3 linked regions of the Canis lupus familiaris genome follow. The protein of the gene in region 2 interacts with the protein of the main gene of each other region in a pairwise test. Links are inferred from orthologs where the notes say so. Each region holds a gene or a part of one and is shown on either strand. Other genes may lie near its edges. The genes, in order: MAPK1IP1L, EWSR1 and PLSCR1.

Region 1 (4,424 bases), on a different chromosome or scaffold from region 2:
GAATATTTGATCATTTTTATTATTGACTCTCTTATCAGATACATTCCATTTTACATTTGGACAACTCAAGGAACTGAGGACTTAGTAAAGTTTTTGAATATTCTTAAGCTTTTGAAAGACATAATTTTTATTTTTTTAAAAGATTTATTCATACATGAGAGACACAGAGAGAGGCAGACACAAGTAGAGGGAGAAGCAGGCTCCCCGCGGGGAGCCCGATGTGGGGACTTGATCCCAGGACTCTGAGATCACAACTGGAGCTGAAGGCAGATGCTCAACTGCTGAGCCACCCAGGCGTCCCAAAAGACATAATTTTTTAAAGTATCATTTTTTTTATACTTATGCCTGGAATATACACACCAGGCACTGTCTTGTTAGGCTTTGGGGAAATGAAGAGTACTACACAGAATAGACATTTAAGGAATTCACAATCTGGTGAACTACCCTTTATTTTTTTTTTTAAAGTTTATTTATTTATTTATTTATTTATTTATTTATTCATTCATTCATGACAGGGAGAGAGAGAGAGGCAGAGACACAGGCAGAGGGAGAAGCAGGCCCCAGGCAGGGAGCCCGATGCAGGACTCCATTCTGGGACTCCAGGATCACACCCTGAGCCAAAGGCAGGTGGTAAACCGCTGAGCCACCCAGGAACCCCCCTGAACTATCCTTTAAATAGTAACTACCTTACTTTGGGTAAGCCCAGGGCACCAAGTTGAGTACCTAAAGGGCACCTAAAGGAATCAAGGAAAGGAGAATAAGGGGAGGAACCCTGAGAAGAGGTTCCTTTGCAGTCTGGGAGAACAATGAAGAGCTGGCAGTAGGGGATGATGGGACAGGCCCCGGGAAAGAGCAGACCGTGCAAAAGCTAAAGCAGGCAAGAATACGCTATGGGAAATATAAGCAGTTCGAATTGGTTGGAATACAGAGAGGGGAGGGATAGAAGTTTTAGCAGAGAGCCTTTAAACTGAGGTTTGAATGTCTCAATCAGATTCAGCTCACCCCAGTGACTCAGTTTCTTCAACTATAAAAGGGCTAGTGATGCGAAAGACTAAATGGTATTCATAAATTAAGTGTCTATAATAACAGTGCTCTAAAAAATAGTGGATGGGCAACAGATATATATTCCCTTGTCTTTCTTCCTACATGGGCATGGCAGCAGAGATTAAAAGAATGACCCTGAAAGTTATGGCTGCGTAGATAAAACCCTAGCTCTTCACTGGCAGGTGATGGACAGGTTGAATTCTTCAAACTCCAGAGGTTTAAGTACACAGGAGTAGTATCCACCTTGCAGACCTGCCCCCAGACTGACAAAATAAATCTCCTGGTCTCTCTCTGGCACTCAAGGAAAACTCAACAAACGTTAACTTTTACAATCGCGGTCACAGGCCTGCAAACCTTTATCTGCAGTTCTCGATTTGGAAACTTCTGAAAAGAAAAGGAAAATTCCAGAATTTGGCATAAAACTTAGTTGGGTGGCAAAACGTGACCTGAGGATATTTACAGTTTCCATGAAGTCACGCCTATCCCTGCACCATTATTACCGTAGTCTCAGGGATGCTGCTGGGACCTTGTGAGGGTGACACCTCTGGCCTACGCATCTTACTCTTTCTAAAATCTAAAGACACAATTCGAAGATTGCTGAATTCCAAAACATACCGGCCCCGAGCCTTGCAGTTAAGGAATGGGTCTCTCTCTGTTCCTTCTGGAGAGAAGAAAAGAACATTCTCACACACACAACCCAACTCAAGTCGCTGAGACAAACTAGTTTTAAATAGGAGGTTCAGAGACGCCAGTACCAGAAAAATTCCTGTTGCTGCCCAGTGAATACAGCCGAACAAAGAACTTCTGAAAGCTCTCCGAAGGCTACCTTGGCCTGTAAAAGGAGGCTCCTTTACAGAACATGCCTTCACAACCATCAGGTGTGTAAGAGTGTGTATTTCTTCAGCAGTAATTTTTTTTTTTTTTTCCCGTCAGGGGAATACGGTCTGATGCCTCAACATTAGAAATTTTTAACCAGTAAAAGCACTGCTTTTGGTTTTCGAAGAGGAAACGGCTCAGCTATTTATAAGCTTCCATGCGTAACACAAGCCCCCAAATCCTAAGAAAGAGAGTGTCGCCGAACTCACGGCTTCTGTCATGTGTATTCGTCGAATAGGATCTGTGTAGCAACTCCTTCGGCAACTAACGACCGGAACGTTGTCACACGGCGGACAATCTGATTAAACAAGTGCCAGATTCCTCCAAGGCTGTTCAGGCCCCTCGCTCCCGTTTTATTAGAAATTAATGAATGGGGGAGGGGACCGAGGGGGCGCGAGCCGGGAAGCCTTCAGGGCCCAACGAACAAAGGGAGTCCGGGATCAACCGGAGCGAACCGGCCGCCGAGCGGGTCGCGCCGCCCGGAAAGGGGTGGGGGTGGGGAGGGTGGGGGAGGGGCCGGGCCCTCTCGCCGCCCCGCCCCCAAACCCGGCCTGACGTCAAGTGCGGAGAAACCCGTCCGGCGCGACGTCAGCCGCCTCCGACGCCTCCTCCCGGGGGGCGATCGGGGGGCACCTCGCAGCCTGAGGGAAGATGGCGGGGGCCGACGTTTAGTCCCGGCCCCTGAAGAGGCGACTCGAGGTTCCTCTGTTACCGCGCCCGTCTCCCGCTTGGGCGTGCTCCCCTGCCCCCCTCCACGATACCCACTAGCGCCGAGGCAGCCTCACCCGGCCAGATCCGAGCCCGCAGCAAAGTCTAGAAGCGGCGATGGGTCCGGGGGAATCGGGTGCTGAAGAACCGAACGCGGACTGACTGACGAGCGCGGCGGCGGCGGTGGCGGCGGCAGCAGCGGCGGCGGTGGCGGCGGAGGCGGAGGCGGCGGCGGCGGCAGCGGCAGCACTAACAGCGCGCGGCTCCTCCTGGCGCCGGAACAGGAAGCGCCGAGCGCGCCGCCCCCGCGCGCTCTCCCCCCTCCTCCCCGGGCCGGGTGCGGCCGCGGGCGCCCCCCGCAGGCTTCGCGCTGCACTGCGGCCTGCCCGGCGGGGCGGGGCGGGGCGGGGCGGGGCCGGGCGGCTGCTCCTCCCGCTCGCCCCGGGGCGGCTGTTTTCCTCCCGCGGGAGGGAGGACCGCTCCCCGGTTTTCCGGAATTCTGAGCCCTCGGAGGAAATGCCTGTAGCCAGTGACGTTCTGGGCACCTCGGCGGAAACTGCTAGCTTGTTTCCTGGACTGGTTTGAGGACTGCTTCTGGATTTCCTACGCTTAGAGATTTTTACAGCCGGGCTTGGATGCCGGCTGGCTGTGAATGCGGCCAACCAGTGAATCCCGGCCCTCGGGCCGAAATTGGGGAGCGCTACAGGAGCCATACGGGGAAGGGGGCCCCACATGTTCATCTTTGAAAGAACCTTTACCTACTTTGGGTCAGGTCTGTAGGATGATTGACACATTCCCCCGGCTGTCAAGGAATCTGCCGTAATTATATAGTGTGCAAAATGTATATACATACAGTATGTACATAGATTTTTATATGTAAAACTACACTAGAAATATGCGGTATCAGTACATTTTGCTTCTTTGGGTAACCCCTTAGTGGGTCACTGGGCAGGGGCATTTTATTAGAAACGTCTTAAAGGAAGACTTATTCCTGGGTATGCTCCACCAGAACCCACACTTCTCCTACTGGAAAAGAGGCAATAGAGAAACTGCAAATACCCAAGCCTGGGGAAGACCTATTTTTGGACAGGGAAAATGGTCTATGGAAAATGACATTAGTGTGAACAACTTACCCTGCCGTCAGGAGGCAGTGAATCTGTAATGCCTTATGGAGCTATAAGGAATCCTGAGTCAGCAGACGTCAGTAAAACTATATTTAAAATCTTGACCTGGGACGCCTGGGTGGCTCAGCAGTTGAGCGTCTGCCTTCGGCCTGAGCGGTGATCCTGGAATTCCGGGATCGAGTCCCCCATCGGGTTCCTGTATGGAGCCTGCTGCTTCTCCTTCTGCCTATATCTCTGCCTCTTTCTGTGTCTCTCATGAATAAAATCCTAAAAAATAAAATCTTGACCTTTTTTCATTAGGTTGTTGTTTTAATTCTGATTTTTTAAAAATTTATTCATGAGACACAGGCAGAGAAAAAGGCAGAGGGAGAAGCAGGCTCCCCGCTGAGCTGGGATTCCCAATGTAGAACTTGATCCCAGGACTCCAGACCCCAGGATGACGATGCTCAACCTGGGCAGATGCTCAACCACTGAGTTGCCGGTGCCCCTGATTTTATTTTTTAAGATTTTATTTGAAAGAGAGCGGCAGAGAAAGGGGATCATGACCTGAGCCCTTGGGCGGAAGCCCTAAGGATCATGCTTAACTGACTGAGCCACCCTCGGTCCCCTTCTGATTTTAAAATTAATTTTTTAAAAATATTTATTTATTTATTTATTTATTTATTTATTTAT
Region 2 (3,215 bases):
TGCATGGAGCCTGCTTCTCCCTCTGCCTGTGTCTCTGCCTCTCTCTCTCTCTCTCTCTCTGTATGACTATCATAAATAAATAAAAATTAAAAAAAAAATAAAATAAAATAAAATAAAATAAAAAGGCAGGGGGGGATCCCTGGGTGGCTCAGCGGTTTAGCCTCTGCCTTTGGCCCAGGGCGTGAGGATCCCGGGATTGGGTCCCACATCGGGCTCCCTGTGTGGAGCCTGCTTCTCCCTCTGCCTGTGTCTCTGCCCCCCCCCCAAATCATGAATAAATAAATAAAATCTTTTTAAAATAATAATAATAAAAATTAAAAATTATACTATCAGTTTTGTAAAATAGAGATTTTAAAAATAGCCCCATCATTCATACCACCATTTTGCCATATTTTTCAGCATGTATGTTCTTTATAAAAACATAGCATTAGTATGTATGTCTTACAAATACTAGCTTTTTTTAAGATTTTATTCATGAGAGACACAGAGACAGCAGAGACACAGGGAGAGAGAGAGAAGCAGGCTCCATGCAGGGAGCCTGATGTGGGACTTGATCCTAGGTCTCCATGGGACTCGATCTCCAGACTCAGGATCACGCCCTGGGCCAAAGGCAGGCGCCCAACTGCTGAGCCACCCGGGCATCCTGACTAGCTTTCTTTTCTTTTTATATATATATATATATAAATCAATACTCTTAGGTATCACTAGGTGTTATATAACCAACATGTATAAATTAAACTTTGATCATAATGTACTTTTAATGCAGAAAACAGATGAAGCCATATTCTTGTATTATAGTGTGGCTCCTGAAATCAAGCCAGTTGTATCTGGTGTTCAGCTGAAAAGCTAATGGTGCATTCTAGCTCTGGAGGAAAAATTAGCTGTGTTGGATTTTAAGAATGCTGTTAGAAAGGATCCCTGGGGTGGCTCAGCGGTTGAGCACCTGCCTTCTGCCCAGGGCATGATCCTGGAGACCCAGGATTGAGTTCCGCGTCGGGCTCCCTGCCTGGAGCCTGCTTGTGTCTCTGCCTCTCTCTGTGTCTCTCATGAATAAATAAAATCTTAGGGCAGCCCTGGTGGCACAGCGGTTTAGCACCGCCTGCAGCCCGGGGTGTGATCCTGGAGACCCAGGATCGAGTTCCACATCAGGCTCCTTGCATGGAACCTGCTTCTCCCTCTGACTTTGTCTCTGCGCCTCTCTCTCTGTGTGTGTGTGTGTGTGTCTCTCATGAATAAATAAATAAAATCTTTTAAAAAAATAAAAATAAAATCTTAAAAAAAAAAAAAGAATGCTGTTAGCAGGGCAGCCCAGGTAGCTCAGCGTTTAGCACCGCCTTCAGCTCGGGGTGTGATCCTGGAGACCTGGGATCGAGTCCCACATCAGGCTCCCTGCATGGAGCCTGCTTCTCCCTCTGCCTGTGTGTATGCCTTTCTCTCTCTGTCTCTCATGAATAAATAAAATCTTTGGGGGAAAAAAAAAGAATGCTGCTAGTACACTCAGAACCCTATGTACTATACTTACTGACTTAAGGGTGATTTTTATTTTATGTGAGACATGGTTTGTGTGATGGCATCAAAGCTTGACTGCCTCGTAAGAGGTGGCTATTTCACTGGGTGCCCTTTAGTGTGGGTACAGAAAATGTTGAGTCAGATACAAGGACACCAGGAGATGACAGCTAGAGAAGGAATGGGAAGCATACTGTTAGCACTTACACACTTTGGAACCTGAGGCCTATTGTGGTTTTCATGACACCTACACCTAAGAGAAAAAATGACCTAAGTATGTATTTATTGTGGCACTTTAGGAAATAAATCATGCATAATTCACTACTTGGAGATAAACACATCCTACCGAATGTGTGTCTGAAAAAGTACAGCTTTTGACAATTCAAGGGACTTCTCTGAGTGTTAGTGTGTTTCTGGTCACAGTTTAACTATGCTATTTTATGCCTAGATGAACAAGAGAACCGGACAACCCATGATCCATATCTACTTGGACAAGGAAACAGGAAAGCCCAAAGGTGATGCTACAGTATCCTATGAAGACCCACCAACTGCCAAGGCTGCTGTGGAGTGGTTTGATGGTAAGAGCCCTAGAGTTGACAGGGGTACTCATTGGTGTCCTTCACTTCAGCCTGCCCTGGGACGCATGAAGGGTCTTGCTAATGGATGTAATTCTGTTAGAATATCATTTTCTGAAATGGTTTTAGGGACAAGGGACAGATGTATTTTTCCTCTGTGTCACTATAACACATTGCAGAAGGGAGGAACTTGAGAGCCATAGAAGCAGGAAGACCCACTGTCTGCATTGGAGGAGCATTGGATGGCTCCCTTCTGCCATAAGAGGGCCCAGTTTCTGGCCCTGGACTTGGAGAGCCCTCATTTTTTTAGTCATTATTACAAATCCACCTTGCTTAAAGTTGTAAATGCCTCTCTAATAAGCAAGTTATCAGAAAGTACAGATCACTCCATAAAAAAACAATATGAAACTCAAATGAGTTTAAATATATACATATTTAGCCTTGGCATTAATTCTGGAATTCCACCACAGACAAAACTGACTTGAAAATGTCAAAGGACAGTTCCTGGCTCTCATCTCTTGGCCACTTTACATACTTGCCCTACTTCTCACCTTTTTCGGGGCAAGGGTGCCAGTGCACTCAGCATTCTCCTGGCTTATTTTCTGCCTTAGGGTACAGGGGGTTTGGGAGGTATCTTTTGAAGGAGTTTTAATGAGAATGCCCTTGCCAGCGACAGTCTTAGAGAAGATTGTGGTTGGGGCACATGCTACCATTGGGGGTGGTTGACTGTAGTGGAGTTTGTGAGCAAGGAGTACTCTAGTCTTGCCTAATCCCTCAAGGAGGGAAGAGTTGGAAGTTGGGAGTAATGGTGTTCTGTTCTCTTGTTTCAGGGAAAGATTTTCAAGGAAGCAAACTTAAGGTTTCTCTTGCTCGGAAGAAACCTCCAATGAACAGCATGCGGGGTGGTATGCCTCCCCGTGAGGGCAGAGGGATGCCACCGCCACTCCGTGGAGGTATTTACCAGACACCTTCCCTAAGCTGCTTCTGTGTTGCTCTGAATATTTTTTGGTAAACTTTGAGAAACTTGAATTCTAGAGTGTAGAAAGACCCATTAGAAGTACTAAAAGGGGGATCCCTGGGTGGCGCAGCAGTTTAGCGCCTGCCTTTGGCCCAGGGTGCAATCCTGGAGACCCG
Region 3 (4,347 bases), on a different chromosome or scaffold from region 2:
CAAGTCCTAGAAAAACTTCCAGGGAAAAGAACATCATATTTATCCTGTACTAAAAGAAAAAAAAAATCTAAGGAAGTCATATATATTGTACCACTGGAATCTTAATTACTTCAGGACAAATGTATAAATTCAAATTATAATCTGAATACTATACCCTTCTTTTTCTTAAAAAAAAGATTTTATTTATTTATTCATGAGAGAGAGAAAGAGAGAGAGAGAGAGAGGGAGGCAGAGACACAGGCAGAGGGAGACGCAGGCTCCATGCAAGGAGCCTGACATGGGACTCGATCCTGAGTCTCCAGGATCACGCCCTGGGCTGAAGGCACTAAACTGCTGAGCCACCCGGGCTGCCCTATACCCTTCTTCCTAATTCAGTTAAATGAGAGATTAGTGCATCATATACTATATTCATATAAGTATATTTCTGGTAAAATTATTCCATCAGATACCATAAGACCCATTGCTGCTCTGGGCTCTTTGAAAATTATAAACCTCTTCCATCAGGGAAGAGAAATAATGCAGGTGACATCAATCATGGTTCCAGAACTCATCTTACAGTGAAATCCTTGACCCATCTCTTGGGGGTCCTGAAATTTCTCTTATTGCTTTCAGAAAAATATTAATGTACAATCTGGAGCCCAAAGGAAGCATCCCTAGTTTTGATAGCTCCTAAGACTAGTATGCCTATAAACCAGGCATAACCTATATTTGAATCATCGATCCATGTTTACTTCTTAATTGTTTAACAACAAATCAGTTAACATTTTTCTGAGGCCCACGATGTGGATATATGTTCTGAATTATTTTAGCAAATAAAGACAATGACAGAACTCTTTGTCCCTGACCTACTTTGAATCTGAGAGCCAAAGGCTGTCTAAAATCAACTAGGCCATGGATGGGGGTTGGGGAAGTGAAGCATTGCAGAGGCAACTGGCACAAGTCCTGTGGCTAGAGGGAGATTGACTAATTCAAGGAAATGAAAGGTTTGTGGATTACAGGAAAAAGAAAAAGGGGGGGGGGGGAGAGATCAGACAAAAGAATAGAGAAGTGTAGGACAGTTTTAACGTAGTTTCTCTCTACCTGCGTTCTATGTTCTCAAAGGCCAGAGTATGGACTATCTTGTCCAGGACAAGGCACTTAACTGGTGCTTGCTGACTGAACAAGATGTGTAGGGTTTTATTTCCCTCCTTTCCCATAAAGAACAGCTCCCGTACAAATGTGAAGGCTGCTTCGTCTCAGATTCAGCCACTTATTTATTTTACATGCACCTTTTCTATCCAGCTGCAGAAATCCACTCATTTTCCCTTTTCCTTAATTTTCATTCCTTGCGTTTATTCAGTGTTCAAAGCCCTGCAGTTGTCCTGCTCGCGAGCATGGTATTAAGAGAAAGTTCTGCTATTAAGAAAGTTCAAGGATGATAAAGGGAATCATAAATCGTTTGACAATTTCCTCTACGGAAGTGACACTTGTACTAATCCTGTTTCTCAAATTGCTAAACCAGGAGAAACAATACCTGCCTGTTCCTGGAGCTGGGTAGTAGCTATTTTACCACTTCCAGGAATCTCTGTCTAAATAAAACCACCTGGGAGCCAGATAATAATCTCGGAGAAGCAGGGACTTTACTATTAAAAATACTAAAAGCGGGACACCTGAGTGGCTCAGGCGTGGAGCGTCTGCCTTCGGCTCAGGGCGTGACCCCGGGATCCGGGATCGAGACCCGCATGGGGCTCCTTTCGGGGCGCCTGCTTCTGTCTGTCTCTCTCTCATGAATAAATAAATAAAATCTTAAAAAAAAAATACCAAAAGCTAACCCTAATGAGAACTTTCTGCAGCGCGGGACACAGCTCCGACAACAGCTTTTACACTAGTTAAGTATCCTACTCTTAACTCTCGGAACTCATTTTTGACCTTGACGCAATTTCAGAGATGGAGCCAGCAAGGTCCAGAGATGAAGAAACGGGTCGGAGTCCGCAGGAATTAAGTAGCAGAGGCGGGGGGTGCACCCAGGCAGGTGGACGGACTCGGGAGCCTCGGGTCTAGGGTCCCCCTGTGGGCGGTAAAGCACCTGCCTCCCTCCTGCCCCCGCGCGCGGAGCTCCAGGTGGCTCGCACAGTTTGGGGGGGGGGGCAGCCTTCCCAGTAGTGAATACTCACTGTTAAATGACAGCTCCGAGGGGCCTGCGAATCGCCCTTCTAACCCCCCGCGCACCCCCCGCACCCCCCGCACGCTGCCGGCAGCCGCAGCTCAGACTCTCAGCGCCGCGGACAGGTGTTCACCCACGGGGCGCGGGCAAACCTGAGCCCTGGGGCGGGCCCGGCGGGGGGGGTGCCGCAGGCGGGTCGCTGCTCGGGGGTCGCTCCCCGGGCCGCCAGGACCCCGGCCCCCAGCCTGTGTCCGCGCGCCCCGCACAGGTACAGCCCCCCCCACCCCGCGCCTGGCTGGGAGCCCGCTGCCCGCCCACCTGTGGCCGCCGCGTGCGGATGCTCCAAGACCCCGGCCCCCAGCCTGTGCCCGCGCGCCCCGCACAGGTACCGCCCCCTGCCCCCGCCCCCTTCCCCCCCGCACACCTGGCGGGGAGCCCGCCGCCCGCCCACCTGTGGCCGCCGCCAGGACCCCGGCCCCCAGCCTGTGCCCGCGCGCCCCGCACAGGTACAGCCCTCCCGCCCCCCCCCCCCGCGCGCCTGGCCGGGAGCCCGCCGCCCGCCCACCTGTGGCCGCCGCGTGCGGATGCTGCCCGGATGCTGCCAAGGGCGAGGCCCCGGAACCTCGGAGCGACCTTGCGCCGCCGAGGTCTGACGGTTTCGTTTCCCGGTGGCGGCGTCCACGCCCCTGCAGGTGCCCCGAGCGCGCGCTCGCCGCTGGCCCCGCTGCGCCCCCTGCGCCCTGCGGGCCCTGACGTCTGTTCCGGGGCCCCGGGCAGCGAGGCGCCGGGAGGCGGGGGCAGCCGGGCCCCGGGAGTCACGGAGGGGGCGGGGCCGCCGGGGTGGGGTGGGGGCGCGGGCCTCCCGGGAGCTTCCGCCGCCCGGAGCCTGCAGCGCCGCTGCGGGTGCAAACGGCCCGGGGTCGAGCTCGCTTTTCTTCATGCGGCTTCTTCTCTTTAGCTCTCTCCGTCCTGGCTCGCTGTCCGTCTGGCTCTCTCAGTGTCTGTCTCTCCCTCTCTCCGCCCATCCCTCATTCTCCACCAAAGGCCGCTAGCTAGCTAGCTAGTTATTTATTATTTATTTATTTATTTATTTATTTATTATTTATTTATTTATTATGAACTACACATTGACTTTTTTTTAAAAAAGATTTTATTTATTCGAGAGAGAGAGAGAGAGAGAGAGGCAGAGACACAGGCAGAGGGGGAAGCAAGCTCCCTGCAGGGACCCCAACGTGGGACCCTATCCCGGGACCCCAGGATCAGGCCCTGGGCTGAAGGCACATGCTAAGCCGCTGAGCCCCCCAGGGGTCCCCAAGGCTGCTAACTTTTAAGAGTCAAACTGACTAGATGTGTTTAGAGTGTTTAATTTTTCTGCCATCTACCCCCACCCCCGCCACTGGCAAACAGGCTCAATAAACTCATATTGGAAAAAAACACACACACACACACACAAACGAACTCATATTGCTTAAACTGAAGGATTCATTGATTCTTTTTTTTCCTTAAAGTGTTTTATTTACAAAAGTAATACAGGATCTTCCAAACAATAAAGCTGAATATGGATAAATAAAGCGAAAGGCGTCTTGGGCAGCTCTCCTCTCCTTTTCTTCCCATGACCCTAGCAACAGATACTTGAAGAGTAAGGGAGGAAGTAGGCGGGAGGAAGGAAGAGGGGGTGGGAAGGGAGAGCAATAGAAAATGAAATTGAGAAAAGAAGTAAAAAGGAGGGGGGAAACCTGCCTCTTAGATCTGAATCCCTTCTCATTCTCCGTGACTTTGTGCAAATTACTATCTCTGTGCCTCTTTTTTAATCTGTAAAGTGAGGGTAGTAGTAGTATGCGTCTCATAATATTTTTATGAGGATTGAAGAAGTTAAAATATGCAAGAAGTTTAGAGTGATGCCTGCTAAGGAGTAAGCGCTGAATAAATATCATTATATATACACACATATATACACACATGTACGTAGTGTTTCTTTACATAAAGAAGATTGTTTCATGCAGACTGTTATCTGGGGCATGTTCTTTTCTCCTTTAGGATGCATCTTAGAAATCCCCTTGCCTCTGATACTGAATGGTCTCGATCTAATCATCTGGGTGCAGTTTATTTCCTGTTTTATAATTACAAATTATGCTACAGTCATCAACCTTGCACATATCCTTATGTGTATATACACTACAGAAAACCCGTCATTCTGTTCTTCT

What was found.
Region 1: the proteins of EWSR1 (region 2) and MAPK1IP1L interact in binary tests that used the Homo sapiens proteins (3 or more experiments, as listed by UniProt). The link is inferred for Canis lupus familiaris from reciprocal best matches to the Homo sapiens genes EWSR1 and MAPK1IP1L.
Region 3: the proteins of EWSR1 (region 2) and PLSCR1 interact in binary tests that used the Homo sapiens proteins (3 or more experiments, as listed by UniProt). The two-hybrid records come from large-scale screens. The link is inferred for Canis lupus familiaris from reciprocal best matches to the Homo sapiens genes EWSR1 and PLSCR1.

Annotation. Positions count from the first base shown.
Region 1 is NC_049229.1:31,204,894-31,209,317, reverse strand, and holds the start of MAPK1IP1L (MAPK-interacting and spindle-stabilizing protein-like), read right to left. Parts: upstream 2,857-4,424; 5' UTR 2,706-2,856; intron 2,352-2,705; exon of another isoform or gene 2,142-2,351; coding exon of another isoform or gene 2,130-2,141; intron 1,824-2,129; exon of another isoform or gene 1,800-1,823; intron 1,567-1,799; exon of another isoform or gene 1,545-1,566; intron 1,529-1,544; exon of another isoform or gene 1,505-1,528; intron 1-1,504.
Region 2 is NC_049247.1:23,014,134-23,017,348, forward strand, and holds part of EWSR1 (RNA-binding protein EWS), read left to right. Parts: intron 1-1,954; coding exon 1,955-2,084; intron 2,085-2,911; coding exon 2,912-3,034; intron 3,035-3,215. UniProt on the Homo sapiens protein: Binds to ssRNA containing the consensus sequence 5'-AGGUAA-3'. Might normally function as a transcriptional repressor. EWS-fusion-proteins (EFPS) may play a role in the tumorigenic process.
Region 3 is NC_049244.1:42,190,608-42,194,954, forward strand, and holds the start of PLSCR1 (phospholipid scramblase 1), read right to left. Parts: upstream 2,888-4,347; 5' UTR 2,709-2,887; intron 2,667-2,708; exon of another isoform or gene 2,595-2,666; intron 1-2,594. UniProt on the Homo sapiens protein: Catalyzes calcium-induced ATP-independent rapid bidirectional and non-specific movement of phospholipids (lipid scrambling or lipid flip-flop) between the inner and outer leaflet of the plasma membrane resulting in collapse of the phospholipid asymmetry which leads to phosphatidylserine externalization on the cell surface.